2 linked regions of the Macaca fascicularis genome follow. The protein of the gene in region 1 purifies or fractionates together with the protein of each later gene. This does not show direct contact. Links are inferred from orthologs where the notes say so. Each region holds a gene or a part of one and is shown on either strand. Other genes may lie near its edges.

Region 1 (5,954 bases):
CTTTTGTCCTTTCCCAGCTCCACCATGGTGGCCGCTATTGGCGGAGGGGGCAGAATGGAGGCACAAATGACACCAGGGACCAAGGGACTCAGGGTGGATTCAGCCAGCACCAGACCTAGATGCCGCCCCCCACGCCCCCGCAGGCAGCCCTCACTTACCCAACTCCGTGTCCCTGATACCCATGTAACTCTCCAGCAGGTCATCCACCTTCTCAATGGCCTTCTCTTCAAAGGCGGAGGGCTGGGGGCCAGGAGGGGTGACAGCGACATCATAACAATGTGAATATACATTGTAATTGGACTGACCGCCCTTGTCACCACTTTACATATATTCCTATTTAGACCTCAGGACAACCCTGAGAAGAAGGTATCGGTGTTCATCTCATCCCCATTTTACTGATGGGCAAACTGAGGCCCACGTGCCCAAGGAAGGTCCCTGGGAGCTGGGAAGTGGCAGAAGTGGACTAGAATCCAGGCTGTCTGCCCAGAGTCCCCTCAGCTAACAGATGATGCTGCCTACTATGAAAAGGAAGTGAGGGCTGGGGGTGGTGGCTCACGCCTATAATCCCAGCACTTTGGGAGGCCAAGGAGGCTGGATCACCTGAGGCCAGGAGTTCGAGACCAGCCTGGCCAACATGGTGAAACCCCGTCTCTACTAAAAATACAAAAATCAGCCGGGCATGGTGGCGGGCGCCTGTAGTCCCAGCTACTTGGGAGGCTGAGGCAGGAGAATTGCTTGAACCTGTGAGGCTGAGGTTGCAGTGAGCCGAGATCGAGCTACTATACTCCAGCCTGGGTGACAACAGTGAGACTCTGTCTCAAAAAAAAGAAAGGGAAGGAATGCTGGAGATAGGGTCCAGCTGGAGCACTCACCAGATCCTCCACCGTGGCAGGGCCCCGGGATCGGAGCCGCAGGGTCCCTCGGCCAGTGCCCAGTTGTGGGCCAGAGCCAGGGCGGCCACCCGCTGAGCGTTGGCTGATCATGTCTGTGGGAGGTAGGAGAGGGGTGCGTGTGGGGGAAGCTCGGTTTTAGCACGCTCTGGGCAGGAACTTGGCCCTCCTGGCTTTCGACACCACCCCAAACTTCTCCAAGCTTCTGCAAGTTCCTGGGGGCTGGGGCCAGGGCAGGAATCCTGACTCAGGCCTGGCATGGATGTGGGGCAGAGCAGGGGGGACAGCTGGGGGCCAGGAATAGGAAATGCTAGAGGGGAGACTGGAGGGGCCACTTCTGCTCCCAGGGGCTGGGACAGGAAGCGGGTGTACCCCAGCCTGAGTCTCCAGCTGCCTGAGTCCGTCTCCTCTTGGCCAAGGGGGTATGGCTCCCGGGCCACAGACCAGCCCTACCTGCCCGGGGAAGTGATTCAGTCCCCCACCCCCATCTCAGGGGCCTGGGGCCCATTCCTTAGAGTTAGTGAAGCCAGATGGAAAAGTGGGGGGGCTGGTACTGAGCGGCCAAGTCTGACCTGTTAGGGGTGGGGGCTGGCCAGGGGTGAGGACACCTTCCTCCTTGCCCCCGCCCTTCTCTCCGGCTGGGCCAAGGACCAGCACCTCGTCTCGGGACCGGGAGGAGCTGCACCCACTTCCCTTTCGGCTGCCCAGGCTCGGGCGCCACCTGCTGGCCGCTCCCGGCACCACCGCCTGCGCCCGTGTGAGCAGCGCCATTGGGGAGGTGCAGGGGGCGGCTCCTCACCGAAGGCCTTGCGAGGCTCCGTGAGCTTCAGCGTGAAGGTACGGCCTCGGGGCAGCTCCTTGAGCAGCCGGGCCACCTCGTAGTGCCGGCAGCCCAGCAGGCTCTGCCCGTTAATGGCCTCGATCATGTCGCCCACGCTGATGAGGTGGATGTGGTCGATCACGCTGCCCTCCTTGATGCGCTGCGGGGATGGCGAGTCATCAGCCCTTGGGGCTCTGCCTTGGTTTCCAGGGTCCCGTGGCCCACCCTCACTCCCAGGCCTCCGAGGTGCCCCGTCTCCCCAGGCACCTTGATGAAGGCGTAGCCAGCCCCGTTGTCCGTGATGGTGAGCCCGAGTGCATCCTCCGACTTGAACACCTCCACCTCCTTGCGCTGCCCCTTCACGTGGGCGAAGATGAAGTCCTCCAGCCCGATCTGGCCCCCCAGGAGCTTGTCCATGTCCACTTTGTGGGTGTTCAGGGTGCAGAACATCACCTGCAGGGGTGGGAGACGCTGAACCCTCTCCCCCCTCCCTCCCCCTTTGCTAATCACCACTGGAGGGCGAAGGGAGAGAGCTGGGAGAGGACTAGGAGCATTCCATCCCAGTGCCCGATCACCCACTGAGCCAGGGCCAGGGCAGGGCCCGCATTAGCGTGTCAGCTCTGCTAGGACTAGGATTTAATTTTCCTTTATTTTTTTAAATTTATTTTTATTTTTTTTTGAGACGGAGTCTCGCTCTGCCGCCCAGGCTGGAGTGCAGTGGCCGGATCTCAGTTCACTGCAAGCTCCGCCTCCCGGGTTTACGCCATTCTCCTGCCTCAGCCTCCCGAGTAGCTGGGACTACAGGCGTCCGCCACGTCGCCCCGCTAGTTTTTTGTATTTTTAGTAGAGACGGGGTTTCACCGTGTTAGCCAGGATGGTCTCGATCTGCTGACCTCGTGATCCGCCTGTCTCGGCCTCCCAAAGTGCTGGGATTACAGGCTTGAGCCACCGTGCCCGGCCTCCTTTTATTTATTTTCAGACAGGGTCTTGCTCTGTCACCCAGGCTGGAGCGCAGTGGTGCAATCATAGTCACTGCAGCCTCAATCTCCCAGATTCCGGCAATCTTCCCACCTCAGCCTCCCAAGTAGCTGGAACTACAACTAGCCATGCCTGGCTAATTTTTGTATTTTTTGTGGAGATATGGGGTCTCACTATGTTGCACAGGCTGGTCTCCAATTCCTGGGCTCAAGTGATCCTCCCATCTCAGTCTCCCGAGTAGCTGGGACCACAGGCACACGCCACCACACCCACATAGTTAAAATAATTTTTTTTAGAGATGAGAGCCTCATTATGTTGCCCAGGCTGGCCTGGAACTCCTGAGTTCCAGTGATCCCCCCTACCTCAACCTCCCAAGTAGCTGGGACTATAGGTGTGCACCACTGTACCCAGCTAGGATTTCTGTCCTAGCAAAAATTCATTGCTGTGCCGGGCGCGGTGGCTCACACCTGTAATCCCAACACTTTGGGAGGTCAAGGCAGGTAGATCACGAGGTCAGGAGATCAAGACCAGCCTGACCAACATGGTGAAATCCTGTCTCTACTAAAAATACAAAAATTAGGCCGGGCGCGGTGGCTCAAGCCTGTAATCCCAGCACTTTGGGAGGCCGAGACGGGCGGATCACGAGGTCAGGAGATCGAGACCATCCTGGATAACACAGTGAAACCTCGTCTCTATTAAGAAATACAAAAAACTAGCCGGGCGAGGTGGCGGGCGCCTGTAGTCCCAGCTACTCGGGAGGCTGAGGCAGGAGAATGGCGTGAACCTGGGAGGCGGAGCTTGCAGTGAGCTGAGATCCGGCCACTGCACTCCAGCCTGGGTGACAGAGCGAGACTCCGTCTCAAAAAAAAAAATAAATAAATAAAAATAAAAATACAAAAATTAGCTGGGCATGGTGACAGGCACCTGCAATCCCAACTACTTGGGAGGCTGAGGCAGGAGAATGGTTTGAATCCAGGAGGTGGAGGTTGCAGTGAGCCAAGATTACACGATTGCACTCCAGCCTGGTGACAGAGCAAAACTCCATCTCAAAAAAAAAAAAAAAAATTCATTGCTGCTTTCAGGGAATGGAGCCTGGCACACAGTGAGTGCTCAGGAAATACTTGTGGAGGACACAGAAACTCGCCCCACTTATGGAGACCCCTGCATCTACTTGTTCAAACCCACTATTGCCATCCTTGCCCCCCTCCCATCCATCCCCACAGTGCTTGGTGCCAGGCAAGCCAGCCTCCCAGTGTTGGGATTCTCCAAGGAATCACGGAGAAGTGCATCTTGTATCTGGCCTCCAGCCTCCACCATCTCCTGGGGCACTGGCCTCCCAATGCCTGATGGGAACTCAGCATCCAGGTTTGGCCTCCAGTTCTCCATACTTCACTGGGGCACAGGCCTCCTAATGCCTGATGGGAACTCAGCGTCCAGCCCTGGCTGTCAGTCTTGCACAATAGACTGGGATGCAGGCCTCTCAATCCATCCATACAATCAATACATCCAGCCCCGGCCTCCCACAGTCCATTGAAGCTCAGGTATCCCAGTGCCTGCTGGGAACTCAGCATCCAGCCCTGGCCATCAGTCTTGCATAATCTACTGGGGGTACAGCCCTCCCAGTGCCTGATGGGATGTCAGCATGCAGCCCTGGTCATCAGCTCCCACAACCCACTGGGGCACAGGCCTCGCAGTACCTGAGGGGAACTCAGCATCCAGCCCTGGCTTCCAGTTCCCCACAGTTCACAGGGGCACAGGCCTCCCAGTGCCTGATGGGAACTCAGATCCAGCCCAGGCCATTGGCCCCCGCCACTGAGTGGGGCACAGGCTTAGCATCTGCAGCTTTGGCATCTGAACCCCAGCTCACAAATGGGATGCAGGCCCAGGCCTCTGGCCCACCATCAGGGACCCTGGTGCCCGATTCCCCAGTGGGTACCTCGGCAGTTGGCAGGCGGAAGGCCTCGGCGATCTTGCCATACAGCTCCTTGACGTTGGTGAAGCCCTCGATGCGGCCAGTGGGACTGCCATGGGCCAGCTGGGTGTGGAACACAAGGCGGGGCCGCAGGGCTGGGGGAGGGGGGGGCAAGCCCATTTGGGGCCCCCCCGCCCCACCTCCGCCCAGGGGCCCTGGCTCCCCCACGCCCAGCCCGCCACGGCCTGGCTCAGCCTCCTCATTTTCCACTAGAGGGGGCGCCTTTTTCCGCCGCCCCAGTCCCAGCGGCATGAGCAGCGAGAAGTGGGGTCACCAGAGGATCTGTAGGAGAGGAAGTGGGGCTCAGGGTCTGGGCAAGGGCCTTGGGTGCCCCTCCCACACTACTCAAACCAGACAGGCCCAAGAAAGTACTCAGAGAACAAACTGGCCTCCGTTGAAATCCTCATCTCTTGTATAGTGATGGGACACTTTTATATAAAAGTAGTAACGGGGCTGGGTGCAGTGGCTCACGCCTGTAATCCCACCACTATGGAAGGCTGAGGTGGGTGGAGTACTTGAGGTCAGGAGTTTGAAACCAGCCTGGCCAACATGGTGAAACACCACATCTACTAAAAATATAAAAATTAGCCAGGTGTGGTGGTGCGCACCTGTGATCCCAGCTACTCGGGAGGCTCAGGCACAAGAATAGCTTGAACCTGGGAGGTGGAGGTTGCAGCGAGCCGAGATCGCGCCACAGCACTCTAGCCTGGGTGACAGACTAAGGCTTTGTCAAAAAATAAACAAATAAATAAATAAAATAAAATACTCACACCTGTAATCCCAGCACTGTGGGAGGCTGAGACGGGAGGATCACTTGAGGTCAGGAGTTCAAGATTCCCGACCAACATGTCGAAATCCCATCTCCACCAAAAATACACAAAAAGTAGCCAAGCACGCCTGTAATCTCAGCAATTCAAGAGGCTGAGGCGTGAGAATTGCTTGAACCCAGGAGGCGGAGGTTGCAGTGAGCCAAGATCACACCACTGCACTCCATCCTGAGCTAAAGAGCAAGACTCTATCTCAAGAATAGTAACAGCAGCAGCTAGGATTATTGCTTTGTGACCTTGTTTGCTTGTTTCGTTTGTTGTTGTGACAGGGTCTTGCTCTGTCACCTAGACTGGAGTGTAGTGGTATAATTAAAGCTCACTGCAGCCTTGATCTCCCAGGCTCAAGGGATCCTCACGCCTGTCTCTCAAATAGCTGGGACCATAGGCACATGCCATGAAGCTCAGCTAACCTTTATTTTATTTTTTTGAGATGGAGTCTCACTTTGTCCCCTAGGCTGGAGTGCAGT
Region 2 (5,954 bases), on another chromosome or scaffold:
AGCTTGCCGGCCATCAAAATCTTGCCAGAATCCCTCAAAGGTTATGTCCTTATTATGCTCCCCCAGAATAATTCCCTTATAGTCGTTTCAAAACTAAGAAACCAAAGCAATCAAGCATGCTTTGTGCATAGCCTAGAATGTATCAACGAGAATTATCACTCAGTTTCATCCAACTGAAGAATTAAGAACGGTTTCACTTAAAATTCCCAGCACTCTCCTTGGAAGAGAAGTCGTCACAGATTTCACTCAAGGGATCAGGCTTACCCAAGGGAAACCACCCCACTCTTCCTTTCCAGAATCCCAGGAAGGTGGACTGTTGTGTGATAACCCCTTCTAGACGAGGTCCTCCATCAGTCAACTGCCACCAAGCAGCTGGGGACCCTGGGGAAGGGCTTCCATCCCATCAAATGCCAGAGAATCCTTATCGAATTACATCTTAATGAATTCTGAGGAGTGTTACCCAGATTCACAGCCACCTCGATTCTAATACAAAAAATCTCCCTGGGTTTTAGGAAGTTCAATGTACTGAATAATACATTTCCTATCCCTCTGCCTACGTTCTTCTGCAGGCAAAACATTCATCAGAGCAGAAGGTTCCACGGCAGATATTTTGGCTGAAATAAATTCCCACCTTGGAGTCTGTCTATCACCGGGATGTGCGTGAAGCTTCTGGCTGGCGCACTGCCTGGGTCACATGTGGTGCCTTGGAGGTAGACTCCCCAGGATCTCTGGGCGAGACCGGAGATCCCACGGTTCTGTCAACCTCAGATTCTCAAAACATCCTCCTCCTCACATTCGAGGCTGTCTTGTTTGTCTTCCTCCTCTAAATTTGGGAGTCTTTTAGGGATAACAGCCAATATTTCCTCCAGAGCACTGTCATTATTATTATTATTATTATTATTAATTTATTTATTTTGGAGACAGAGTCTCAGAGTGCAGTGGTGTGATCTCAGCTCACGGCAACCACCGCCTCCTGGGTTCAAGTGATTCTCCTGTCTGAGCCTCCTGAGTAGCTGGGATTACAGGTACGTTCCACCAGGACTGGCTAATTTTTGGTATTTTTAGTAGAGACAGGGTTTCACCACGTTGGCCAGGCTGGTCTCGAGCTCCTGACCTTGTGATCCGCCTGCCTCGGCCTCCTAAAGTGCTGGGATTACAGGTGTGAGCCACTGTGCCCAGCCCGCTGTCATTATTTTAAAAAGTTCACCTCACTTTAAGACTCTGCCCTCCTCACTGTAACACTCTGCCCAAATCACACAATTTATGTTCCCTAGTCCTAGCTTTGACTCTGAGTTGGGCCATAAAGTAAAAAAAAAACAATGTCCATTAACAGAATCTGAAAAATAAATGCTTCAGTTATTTATGGCAACACCCAATCACTGTTGTTCTCTTATTAATAACATCTCATACTGGCTAGCCTTTTATTTTAAAGAACATTTACAGCAATGCTCAGGGATGCCAGCATCAATCAGAGGCAGGGAGAAGATGTTTGGGATAAAGGGGAAGGAGAAGCTACTCAATTAGACAGACATAAACACAGTGCGTATAATTTCTAGTACATCAGGATAGAGGATTACAACTTTATCTGGGGGATAGCGGTTTAGTTCAAGAAACATTTACTTAGCACTGACTTTAGGCCGGGGCTGAGGATACAAAGGTCAAAGTCAAGTTCCTACTTTTCAGCTGTGCTCCAGGCAAGACAATTTCAACAGCTAAGAGAAAGCCAAGGGATGATGATATTGATGATGATGCTGCCGTCACTGCAGCTGCCAAGCCCCGAGGGAGCACGTTGAGAGAGACTGAATGTGGCCTAGGTTGGGGCAGATGTCCAGGAAGAAAATGCCCTACTGGTATCAACCTTGGTGTCCAAAAGATAGGTCTTCTCATGAACTCAATTTTATGCGGCCACTGGAGAAACCCGGAAACCCAGGGTTATCAAACCTTAGGACCACCTTCTAGAACAGGGATTGGTAAAGCACGGCCCTGGGGCCACACGGGGTTGTCTGCAAAAAAAAAAAAGTTGTCTTGGAACACGACTGTGGCTATTTAATGACTTACTTCTGTGGCTGCTTTCATGCAACAAAGCAGCAATGAATAGTAGTGACAGAGATGGTATATGGCCTGCAAAGCTTCAAATATTTCCTATCAGACCGTTTAGAGAAAAGGTTTGCTGACCCCTCCCCTAAGCCACCTTTTTTTCTTCTCTAGTGGTTCTCACTATTTCATCTATTTGCCACACTCTCTGTTCCCCTGGGTTTCTGCGCCACCAAGCTCCCTACCACACTGTCACTGAATTTTATCACGAAAAAAGAAACATACCCTGTATTAAGAAGGGGTTTCACTAATAAGGGGGAACCAAAAAATAAGACAAGCGGCTATGGGTCTAGGGCTAAACCTACGAACACGGTGAAGTTTAAAGAACTAAACTTTAATGATCTGAATGCTAAACTGGCGATCTTTAAAGCAGAAAAGTTCCTGAGTTCCAACTTGGAAATCCCAACGTTCTCCCTTAGCCACAGTCCTGTTCCCCAGAAGCTCACCTTTGACATCATTAAAGCTCGTCTCTGAAAACCCTTCGCTCAGGTCAATCAGGGTCCCCTCTGACTTGCAGCGAGGGAGGCCGCTGGAGTTGGCAGCTCGGATCCGCTGAGCCGCCATCTCGAAACTCGCTTCCCGGGTAAAGCTGCTAAGGCTTCATATTTCTTCCTCCAGTTATCCCAGCAGACGCTGAAGCTTCCGCCTCAAGCAAACATGCTGCGCGGCGGCATCCACTTGGCAATATGCCTTCTTCCTGAAAGTAGAGGAGGAAAAAAAAGTCCCCTGAGCAAGCGAAACATGGGTTCAATGGTAATTTTATGGGAAGTTGAATCCTCTTTCTTCCAGATTGTTCCAATGAGGATAGACCCATTTCATCCTTCCTGGCCCCACAGAGCAGAGCAGCACTTGCTCCTTGGCCTCTGTGCCCACTTTGTGCTTGTCTCATTGGCACCCTGGGCACACACAGCCCAGCAGTGTTTTCTGGCTATTTGCACCTGCTCTTCTTGGGAGCACAAGAGTGTTTGTGAAATGTGTTCCAGGCCAGCCCATTCATTACAGTCAAAGAGGAGGACAGAGTAGGACTGTACAGTCCACGCTGCTAGCTGCAGGGCTCGGAAAAGGAAAAATCGGCTTCTGCTTGTTCAGAGTGGTTGATTCCAGTGCAGGAGCAGTCATCATGGTGACTCGGCCCTGGGAAGCGGCCATCAATGGCACAGCCCAGCAGAGGCCCCAAGGGTGATGCTCCCTACCCATCCGCTGCTGAAATCCCCCCTGCACCCCAAATAAACAATTCTAAACACAACACAGAGCGGCCATAAGGTATTCTCAATGCAACGTATGCAGATGCAATGTATGCAGATGAAACCAGGGCATATTTACTGAACCACTGTAACTAAGCAGGAAAGATCTTTCCGTGGAAGAGACCCCAAGAATCACCCCTAAGGCCTCTGCTTTTTTTTCTGGACAGGCACACAGACAGGACAGAAGCATGTTACGGGTTCTGGATATGAATGAGGTAACTGGCTTTGAGCAGGCCCTTCACCAGGGCCCAGGAGAAGGGACAGGAAGAGCAGTGAGCCGATTTCAAAGCGGTGAATTTCATATGCTCTCCAAGAGAAACTGGCAGACACTGTCATAGCAGGCCACAGTACATAGAGCTCTGAGCAAGCAAATCTCACCCCTACATAACCAGGCACATATACGATGGTCTGAGGTCCCTTATTCCTCAATTGCTCTATCCAGAGACAGCTGAGAATGTAGCTTCTGACCCAGCATGCCGCCTTTACCTTGCAGAGACCCAGAGGCCCTGACACCACCCTTTGCAACGTTTCTGCAGCAGCCGGGACAGAACCCTGACCATCCCCATTCTTCCCCCAGGCTCCAAGTGCAGTGAGCACGGCTTGGAGGGCCCCTGTGCAGTAAGCAGAGCCAGGCGTGTGTCCACATGCTGCTATAGGGGCAATCTTGTGTTCAGTATTTAACCCTGCCGAGTCTCAGCCACCGTCACCACTGCATCAGAAGCTGCAATTCCAGCTCCGAGTGACCGGCGGACAGTGGCTCAAGGGAGGCATCGTTTCCACGTCAAGGCCTCAGAAGGCTGCACTCTGCACCTGAACGCTGTCTGGACAGAAGGCATGTATTACGGACTGAACTATGTTTCCCTAAAGTCCTATGTTGAAGCTCTGTCCCCTAACGTGATGGCACTGGGAGATGGGGCAGTGGGGAGTAGTTAGAGTTACAAGAGGTCATGAAGGTGGGGTCCCCATGATCAGATCAGCACCTTTATTTGAGACACCAGAGAGCTTCCGTTCTCTCTCCCTCTACCACGTGAGGACACATGAAGCCAGGAAGAGGGCCTTCCCAGGAACAGAGTTGGCCGGCGCCTTGATTTTGGACTTCTGGGCCCTGGAACTGTGAGAGATGAGCCTCCCGTGCTGGAGCCGCTGGGGCTGTGGTGCTTGAGCGCAGCCGGCAGCAGGAGAGGAAGGCACGGCGGCCACCTCTCTGGGGAGGGGCAGAGCCGCTCTGTTGGGGGCCCTTCCCTTAGAAAACACCCACCTGAGGCCAGCCTCGCCGTCTCTCCTACCCAGCATGGTAGGGAGGGGCGGAGTGGAGACCAGCACGCACACAGGCCAGTTACTCACAGGAAGGAATGAAGCTGTTCTCCCCAAACTGGGTGGTCACAGATGTTTCCATCTTTCCCTATGAAGTTACAATGGTCAGGTCTGCATGCTCATTCCCTATTCCCGGCCCCAGAGAACCGTGCGTTGGGGAGACCACAGGCTCCCTGGATGCCCGGGACCCAGACTGCCTGGCTGGAAGTGACGGAGCTCAGGCCAGGAGGCAGCCTCCTTCCACCCCACACTCCACTCCTCTGCTGGGGTCTGGGACGCTGAGGCTCAACACTGACGGGACAACACCCTCGCCCCCTACCAGAAGCGGTGACCGAGTGGCTCTGTCTGCACAGCCTGCGTGCAGAGCTGGATGAAGGGGTCTTGCCGCCACTTGAGAGACCCTCCTACCACAGCCAGGTAGCCCGGCAGCCCCCAAATGCAAGGGCCACACGTGCAAGCCCCTGGGCTGCTTGGAGGCCACTGCGGAGACCTCAGTGACGGCCACCTCCAGAGCAGCCTGACTTCAACAGGCTGAGTGAGGAGTAAAAATCCTTCCCATACAAAAATGCGGGATCATTTACTGCAGAGAACTGATGCGGAGAGAAAATGAAGAGACCCATGAGTGGGTGAGGGGAGGAGCTTCAGGACAATCGCAAGCCCACAACCAGTACTTGCCATGCGGCCTTTCACGTGTGACGGTGACAGTTCCTGCCTGAGAGTCTCCATCTGACTGCACCCGAGGAGGAGGAAAAGTCAGGGGGTGTCAGCTGTGAGGGCAACTGGAGCCCACCTGCCCATCCGGTGAGGGACTGGGGTGCCCCCACCCCCACCAGTCCAGAGCTACTCTGAGGACTGCGCCGGATGAGACTCTGGGTCACCGTGGCCGAACGAAGGCTCCTGTTAATCACCAATGTGTGCCCTTCCCACTGGGGCCACGACTCTCCTGCAGAAGGGAAAGGGCTGCCTCGGCCACCATGGTCACCCCGCCCCCTCATGACTATAGCATTGCCTGGTTTCCCAGTCACACCAGGAAGAATTATTTCATGGAGGGTTAACAAAAAGTCCATCTGGGCACAAGAGGGAGGCATTCCCAAAAGCTGCCTGGCATGTCCTGGCTCTGCAAAGCTGTCAGCAGAGATGGGCGTCAGGCACCTGGGGCTCCACGCAGGCTGCTCAGGACATTGCCAGGCCCGGTGGGGCCGAGGGCAGTAATAGGAATGGGGTCTGGAGAGCACGACTGGTGACATAGTGAGGCCCAGAGAGCTCCCACAAGAGGTGAGATGCTAGTGAGTGTTCAGTGAG

What was found. Proteins that work in one complex are often made in the same cells at the same time.
Region 2: the proteins of GIPC1 (region 1) and SH3BP4 purify together in Homo sapiens (affinity purification with mass spectrometry; 4 studies listed by BioGRID and IntAct, with this or other methods). This does not show direct contact. The link is inferred for Macaca fascicularis from reciprocal best matches to the Homo sapiens genes GIPC1 and SH3BP4.

The regions. Positions count from the first base shown.
Region 1 is NC_088393.1:14,913,539-14,919,492, forward strand, and holds part of GIPC1 (PDZ domain-containing protein GIPC1), read right to left. Parts: intron 4,943-5,954; 5' UTR 4,913-4,942; coding exon 4,625-4,912; intron 2,164-4,624; coding exon 1,978-2,163; intron 1,871-1,977; coding exon 1,690-1,870; intron 986-1,689; coding exon 873-985; intron 241-872; coding exon 159-240; intron 35-158; coding exon 1-34. UniProt on the Homo sapiens protein: May be involved in G protein-linked signaling.
Region 2 is NC_088386.1:130,941,595-130,947,548, reverse strand, and holds part of SH3BP4 (SH3 domain-binding protein 4), read right to left. Parts: intron 2,792-5,954; 5' UTR 2,659-2,791; coding exon of another isoform or gene 2,541-2,658; intron 2,004-2,540; 5' UTR 1,888-2,003; coding exon 1,677-1,887; intron 1-1,676. UniProt on the Homo sapiens protein: May function in transferrin receptor internalization at the plasma membrane through a cargo-specific control of clathrin-mediated endocytosis.